2 linked regions of the Canis lupus familiaris genome follow. The protein of the gene in region 1 interacts with the protein of each later gene in a pairwise test. Links are inferred from orthologs where the notes say so. Each region holds a gene or a part of one and is shown in the gene's direction. Other genes may lie near its edges.

Region 1 (3,500 bases):
GTCCCAGACAGGGAGCATGTGTCTGCAACCTCTGACCTAGGCGCTTACCCTTCGTCCCCATTATGGACTGCCCTGTCTGTGTGGGGAGCCGGGCAGAAGGGCAGGGGCCTGTGGGGTCATCTGCAGCGGCCAAAGAGGCCTGCCTGCGGCCGAGCCAGCTTTCTTCCCGCCTGTCTCTTCTTTCTCCTGCCGCGTCATCTGAAGTAGCCTGGGTTTTCATCCCACTGTTGTATGTTTCAGTTTGTAGGTGTATTTGATTTGATTTTTTTAAAATTACGTTTAAGTTCTTTTTATTTCGTGCTCTAGGTTTTAAGGTTTTTCTAATTTCTTAATTTTTTTGTTGTTTTTTGTTTTGTTTTTTGTTTTTATGTGCTGTATTTTCAGTGTTTTAACCAAACAGTTGTGGCTACTCATGGTGAGGAATGACCGCTAAGAGTTTGGGTTCTTTGCATTTGGAGGTCACTGCCACACGTTGGTGTTTAGGAGGTTGAGAGGTTTGCTGCTAGGTAAGTGGTGGCCAGGGGAGTGTCCCATGGGTAGGTGGCGGCCTGTAGGGTCAGGGAGAGCCAGGTACTGGGGGAGGCCTGGCCACGCTGCACGGTTCCTTTCGGTGACTTCCAGGGTCAAGGAGGCCCACTGCAAACCCACAGACCTGAGCTTGCCGGGCACGGACCAGCCGGGGACCGTGGCCCTGAGGAAGGTGTTCCGGGAAACATGTGGCTCTGAAAGGCATGCACTCCTGTACCTGGCCTCCCCCAGCCCCCACCAGACTTCCCCGTGCCTCTGGACTCCTGGGGCCATGTCTCCTTGAGTGCTGGCCCGGGCTGGGTGGCAGCAGAGGGCCCTTACCTGTGGGACGCCCAGAAGCCTCTGCCGTGTGGGGCAGACAGACTGCTGGGGCAGCTCCATCACAGAGGCTCTCAGGAAAGGATTTTTCCTTCTCTAATTGGCCTTAAGCTGTAGAACCCAAATAGAAAATGCTTGTACCGGGGTGCTTCTAGGGAGAGAGAGGCACAGGCTGTTGCACGGGGCATAGCGCCTTGGCACATCAATGGTCTGGGCCATCCTGGGGCCTGCAGGGTAGTGGTCCGCCTCCACCCACTGGACACCAGGAGCACCCACCTGTCCCTAGGCATGATAGCCACAGATGTTCCCAGACATCACCAAGCATCCCCTGAGGACATGGTGGGCCTGGGTGAGAGCCCCTGCCTAGAGGAGGATGTGGAATAGTGAGAGTCCTGGCAGAGAGGTGTCAGGAGCCTGTTAGATGAAACCAGACATCTCTGTCCCAGGCCCTGGCCTGACACCACACGATCAGGAAAAGGCAGGTCTCAGGGATGCCCAACCAGCTCTGCCTCCTGGGCACCTGGCGGCAGCCATGGGAGCCTGGTCACCCTCCCTAGGTGAAAGGGGTGTAGGTCGGTCCCAGTGTGCATCCAGCTTTACGGACAGGCCCCCTGCCATCAGCTCCTCCCCTGCGAGAAAGCACTCCCAGAAGCTCCCCTTCTGCAGAAACACGTGGCCCAGTGCTGTCGGCCACAGCCATGGCCACGGCCACTGGGGCATGCGAGCCGTAGCCGCTTGGGAAGCCGCGCCCCTTCTCCACCCCCTAGAGGGTAGCAAGGTCTGAGGGGGGTGCTGCCCACTGAGGACGGCATTGGGGTGAGTCAGGGTCATCAGTGTTAGTAGACAAGTGGGCCAATTCCCAGATACTGTCGGATGGTTTCATGAGGAGGGACTGTGGATGAGGGTGGCTTCGTTTCCCGTGCGGTACTCACGTACAGTGTGTTCTCTCCAGGGAGATTCTGGTTTTTGTTTTTTTTGTTTGTAAAAAATTTTTATTTATTTTATTTTAAGTAATTTGCACACCCAGCGTGGGGCTCGAACTTACTACCCCGAGATCAAGAGTCACATGCTCCACCGATGGAGCCAACCAGGCGCCCCTCCAGGGAGATTCTTAAGGTCAACAGTTGATTGCAGTTTTCAATGAGCTGGTCTCTCTTGGAATGTTTTAAGGGTGACCCATTGTCTGGAAGTGGGGTTATAGGTTGATTGCATTTACATAGATACGTAGACCTTGAGTTCCAGTTGAGCCGAGGGGACCTGGTGTCTCTGGGAGGTGGGTGCCCCTTTCCAGCCCCTTCTCATCCTAGTGCAGGGAACCCGAGACAGGAGTGGCTGGGCTGCCGCCCCGACAGCTTGATCAGAGAGCGTGCTCGGCCTCCTCCCTGGTCCCCATCTAGAGTTCCCTGCCCTGCCCTGGGCTGCAACTTGTTTTTGACCACCCCCTGGCTGCAAAGGGTTGCTTGCCATGTTCATGTAGCTTCATGTCCATCACACGCGGCATCAGTGGGCTGTCCTGGGGAGTGCCAGCTAAAAGGCCCCATCCAAGCCATTTAGATAAGGTGGCAGCGGCTGGGTGAACCAAGGGACTAGGCCAGAGGACTTGGCGGACAGGAGGGCAGGGGGCCTCCTGTGCCCTCAGCCTTTGACCCCGGCCAGAGAGGCCAAGCCAGGGGGCCTCTAGAAGGTGGCCTGGGACCCCGCTGACCCTGCAGGCTGTGCCCGCCTCACCGGGAGCCTGGGGACATGCTGACCCACATGGCGAGCTTCTCCCTTCCCTGTTTGGCCCTAGTGTCCACAGGACGAGATGTCCGAGTCCGGCCAGTCCTCGGCGGCTGCCACACCCAGCACCACCGGCACCAAGTCCAACACACCCACGTCCTCCGTGCCCTCGGCTGCCGTCACACCGCTCAACGAGAGCCTGCAGCCCCTGGGGGACTATGGTGCCGGCACGAAGGGCAGCAAGCGGGCCCGGGAGAAGCGCAACAGCCGCAACATGGAGGTCCAGGTCACGCAGGAGATGCGGAACGTCAGCATAGGTGCTGCGGCGGCTGGCGGCCGTGCCTCCCAGGGCTGGACACTCCCAGCACCCCCTCCCCCGTCCAGGCCCCCTGCTGTCCCCTCTCCCACACCCCTGCTGTCCCCCATCCCCGCCCTCTCCTTCCCGCTGGCCCGCCCCCCCCCTCTGGCCCACTCCTTGCTGTCCATGCCCCTCCCCGCTGTCCCCCCCTCACTGTCCCACCCCTTGCCATCCCCTGACCCCCCCCATCAAGCTGTCGAGGGAGGTTTCCCTTCCAGCTACCAGTGTTAGTTCTGCTAGATGTATCAGTGAGCTCAGGCTGCCGTGACATAACACATATCACAGGCCCGGCACTTCAGACCTGAGATATGCTTTCTCACAGCCCTGCAGGCCAGAAGGGAGCAGTAGGGCGTCAGGGCTAGGGCCCCCAGAGGCCTCACTCCAGACTGCCGCCTCTCCCTGTGTCCTCACCGGCTCGTCCCTCTGCATGTGTGTCCTCATCCGTTCCTCTAACAAGGACACAGTCAGATGGGGTCAGGGCCCACCCATGTGGCTGTATTTTATCCACACCTCTGTAAAAGCCTCATCTCCAAACATGGTCACATGCTGGGGTCCCAGGGGCTGCGGCTTCAGCATG
Region 2 (4,091 bases), on another chromosome or scaffold:
GGGGCATGATCCCAGAGTCCCAGGATCGAGTCCCACATAATAAAGCCTAAACGGAGTGGCAGCAGTGGGGATGGAGAGGGATGGACTACAGCAGTAGGAAGGATTTAAGATCTTGGCTGCTCATTAGAAGAGGACATTAAGCATCTCAGGTCCTCCCTGGGCGAGTGGAGGGAACAATCACTGCACCCAGAGTTGCAGGCCTCACTCAGCCCACTCCTCTCGTCTCTAGAGCATGTTGGTTACAAATGTGTGCCCAGCCCCTAGGTGCCTGTTGAGGAGTAGGTGACATCCAAGCAGCAGTGTGGCCAAATCATTAAGGGAAAGGTGGTTTGATTCACTGCTTCTCCCTCCCCCTTTTTTAGCTGACTCTTTGCATTTATATGAAAGTAAAGTAGGGGATCCTTGGGTGGCTCAGTGGTTTAGCGTCTAACTTCAGCCCAGGGTGTAATCCTGGAGTCCTGGGATCAAGTCCCACATCGGTGGAGCCTGCTTCTCCCTCTGCCTGTGTCTCTGCCTCTCTCTCTGTCTCTTATGAATAAATAAATAAAATCTTAAAAAAAAAAAAACAGTAAAGTAATTGAGGGCACCTGCATGGCTCAGTCGTTAGGCATCTGCCTTCAGCTCAGGTCATGATCCCCGGTCCTGGGATCAAGCCCCCTATTGGGCTCCTTGCTTGGCAGGGAGCCTGCTTCTCCCTCACCCTCTGCTGCTCCCCCTGCTTGTGCTCTCTGTCAAATAAGTAATAATAATTAAAAAAAAAAAAAAAGTAATTGGATCTCCCTGTGAAAATCGAGGAGCATTTACTCCCCCACTGGCTGTGTAATTCTAGGGTTAAACCGGCTGTTGGTGCTGGGTTGATCTATCTGAAGAGCTGAGCAGTTCAAAAGCAGATGGGGGGGTGGTGGTGGAGGGACGCCTCCTGGTCACTAGTGCCCCAGGGCCCGGCTCTTGGGATGTCTGCAGGCTCCAGGTGGTGGGGGTGGGGGGTCCTCCCGAGCCGGTGGCAGGCAGAGAAAGCTGAGCATTGCCCCCTGAATCAGCATGCGTCCTCCTGCTGGCTGCTGAGTCAGGCCTGCAGAGCTGGCGGTGCAGCAGGCTGAGGCCCAGGAGCGCGCTCTGACCTGGAAGTACTGCCCTTCAGGCGGGGGCTGGAGGTCGTGGCACGGCTGCCGCGGGGGAGGGGGTGCGTGCGGCCGCGGGGATGGCATCTCCCTGCCCAGCCTGGCGGTGCAGTTCCGAGCGAGGCCTGCAAAGTCCCGCTGAGCTCGGATTCTTGAGGACCCTGGGGCGAGGGCGTAACGGGGCGGGGAAGGTCAGGGTCGCGATCAAAGACTAGGTGTCCCCGGAGAAGGCCCGGGGCCTGCTGCGTGGCCTCGCCCCTCGGCCGCGCCGTGGACAGGCTGCTCACAGCCCTCCTGGCGGCTTCCAGGGAGACGGCGACGCGCGCCGGAGACGCGCGGGGCCGGGGCTCGGCGCGCCGAGAGGCGGGCGAGCAGGCGCGCGGGGCCGGCGCGGGGTCCCAGGCGGCCGCGCCCCGCCCCAGCGCCCCCTCCCGCACGCCCGCGAGCCTCCTCTCCGCGCCGGGCCTCAGTTTCCCGGCCGCGCCCCGCCGCGCCCCGCCCCCCGGCGGCGGGCGGTGACGTCACGGCCGCGCGGGGCATTGTGGGGCGGGAGCCCCGAGCCGGGGGAGGGACGCCGAGACGCCATTTTCGGCGGCGGGCGCGGCGGAGCCGGAGCAGAGCAGGAGCCGACGGGCGCGGGGCGGCGGCTGCAGGGAGGAGCCGCGGGGGACAGCGCTCGCGGGCGGCCGAGGATGCTGCGGGGCGGCCGCGCCGGCGCCCCTCGCTCGTGACCGCGGCGCCGCGCCTGAGGCATCGAGGCAGCGGGCCCCGCGCAGCCCGGCTCCGCGCACGCGCCCGCGCCCGCGCCCTCCCGGTGCTGACAGCGAGCGCGCGGCCCCGCGGGAGCAGCACGGTGAGCGGCCGGCCGTCCCCCGCCGCGGCACCCCAACGGGCACTTGTGGCGCCCCCTCGTCGGGCCCTTGGCGCCGCGCCCCCGCCCCGCATCCCCGGCGGCGCCCCGCGGTCGGTCCCCTCCGCGCGTCCCCGGGCTGCGCTGCGCTGCGGGGGGGGGGGGGCGGCTCGCGGAACAGCTGCGGACCCCGAGCGGCGGGGGGGGGGGCGCTCCCGGGAACGCGGCGGGGGGGCGGCCGGCCGGGCTTTGTCCGAATCCTCCCTCTTCCTTCCGGCCCCTGCCCTCTCCCGCGGCACCGCCCTGGGCGGCCGCGCCTGTCGTGCTCGGGGGCGGCGGCTGCCGGGGCCCCCCGGGAGGCCGGCCCCGCGGCGCCTGCTCGGCCGCCCCTGCCCCTGGACCGCGGGACGCGAGCCCGCTCATCCTCCGCGTCCACCTGCGCTGGCGTCGCTCCTGCTCCCAAACTTGAAGCCGCCCCGACGCGGTTGTCAAATGCGGTGCCCTCTCGACCCCCCAAGACCTTTAAACGCCTTGAAACTGTAGTAGTAGTGCCTGGCGGATTGGGTGGTTTTACAGCGTAAGGTGTGCAGATCCAGGTGGTGGGTTGTTTTTTTTTTTTTTTAATTATTATTTTTTGTGCTAGAATTGTTGCTTATTGTTTCATTATTTAAACAACACATTAACAATTTACGGTAGGCGTTTCATAAGGAGTCCTTGCAAAAAAACGTTTCTAAAGTGTGAGGACAGGGACACCTGGGGGGGGGCTCAGTGGTTGAGCATCTGCTTTCAGCTCGGGGCGTGACCCCGGGATCCTGGGATTGGCACCGCGTCGGGCTCCCTGCGTGGAGCCTGCTTCTCCCTCTGCCTGTGTCTCAGCCCCTCTCTCTCTCTCTGTGTGTCTCATGAATTAAAAAAAAAAAAAAAGTGAGGACAACAGAAAATTTGAGGTTCGCTATTTAAACTGGTATATTGAAGGGCGGTTCTTTGATTCTTTGCGTTAGTTAAATTTTAAGGCTTTTTTAGATACAGCATGACTAAGCTATTGATCAGAGTCGTTAAGCTCAAAATACATGGAAGTAGTTGAGTCAAAAACCCATTAGGAAATTGGGACGATGTTCTTAAGTCTCATCATCTTGTTACCTGTTCTGGATTGGCCTCTTTTAGGGATTGGCAACAGGCCTTAGCGAAGGTGGGAAATTTGATTCATTGTTCTGTTTCCTAAGCATCTGTAGGAATACAAATGATACTAAATATTAAAAACTTCAGATAGTGGGGGAACTGCATGTGGGAAGCTCGGCACTCCTAAGAGCCAGTTTCCCCAAGTCATCAGAGAATGCAACATCATGTTGCAGTGGAGTCTGGCAGCCCTGTGGTGTTACTGAGGGGGGTGGAGGACCCAGGGTGGTAACTTGTCTGTGACCTGGCTCGTGCACTTTGCTTCGTACTACCTTCTAAAAACACTAGACGATGCAAATAAAGGTAGAAAGACCTGCATGGGAGTCAGGACACTACTGCTAGGAAGGATGAGAGAAAATACCACTGGGGAGGAGCACATAGTATCTTAAGTATTTATTTTTTTTCTCTTAAGTACTTTAAAATGAAAACTTAACTGTAGTTACTTAAATTATATATTTAAAAATGATGAATTCTCATTCATTCATTCATGCATGCATGAGAGACACAGAGAAGCAGAGACATAGGCAGAGGGGGAAGCAGGCTCCCCCCAGGACCCTGGGATCACACCCTGAGCCAGAGATGCTCAACCGCTGAGCCACCCAGGTGCCCCGCACCCCTGCCAAATTATATATCGTTAAGCATATTTCGTAATGTTGAAGATAAGCCAGTGTGTAGCTTTCCATATGGGAATATAAACACCAAAGATTGGTTAATTTGTAGGATTCATGTAACATGGAAACATAAGTGGAATATGATAAGAAACCAGAACTTTATGTAACAAAGAAGTGATCAGTAATATCCTAAACTGAAGTACAGGCAGGTTTTACATGTCAAATTTCAGGGCATAGAATAAAAATGATTAGCATATTAAATGGTGAAAGCATGACCTTAAATGTCTATCTAGAACCAACTGAATGACAGGTGCTGTGCTAAGTTGTTGGGAA

The links.
Region 2: the proteins of MAPK8IP3 (region 1) and KLC1 interact in binary tests that used the Homo sapiens proteins (3 or more experiments, as listed by UniProt). The link is inferred for Canis lupus familiaris from reciprocal best matches to the Homo sapiens genes MAPK8IP3 and KLC1.

The regions. Positions count from the first base shown.
Region 1 is NC_049227.1:39,595,261-39,598,760, reverse strand, and holds part of MAPK8IP3 (C-Jun-amino-terminal kinase-interacting protein 3), read left to right. Parts: intron 1-378; exon of another isoform or gene 379-506; intron 507-532; exon of another isoform or gene 533-1,923; coding exon of another isoform or gene 1,924-1,962; intron 1,963-2,635; coding exon 2,636-2,882; intron 2,883-3,500.
Region 2 is NC_049229.1:71,780,242-71,784,332, forward strand, and holds the start of KLC1 (kinesin light chain 1), read left to right. Parts: upstream 1-1,291; 5' UTR 1,292-1,312; intron 1,313-1,646; coding exon of another isoform or gene 1,647-2,394; intron 2,395-4,091. Other genes in the region: basic proline-rich protein-like, read right to left, coding at 1,122-1,282, 1,647-2,394. UniProt on the Homo sapiens protein: Kinesin is a microtubule-associated force-producing protein that may play a role in organelle transport. The light chain may function in coupling of cargo to the heavy chain or in the modulation of its ATPase activity.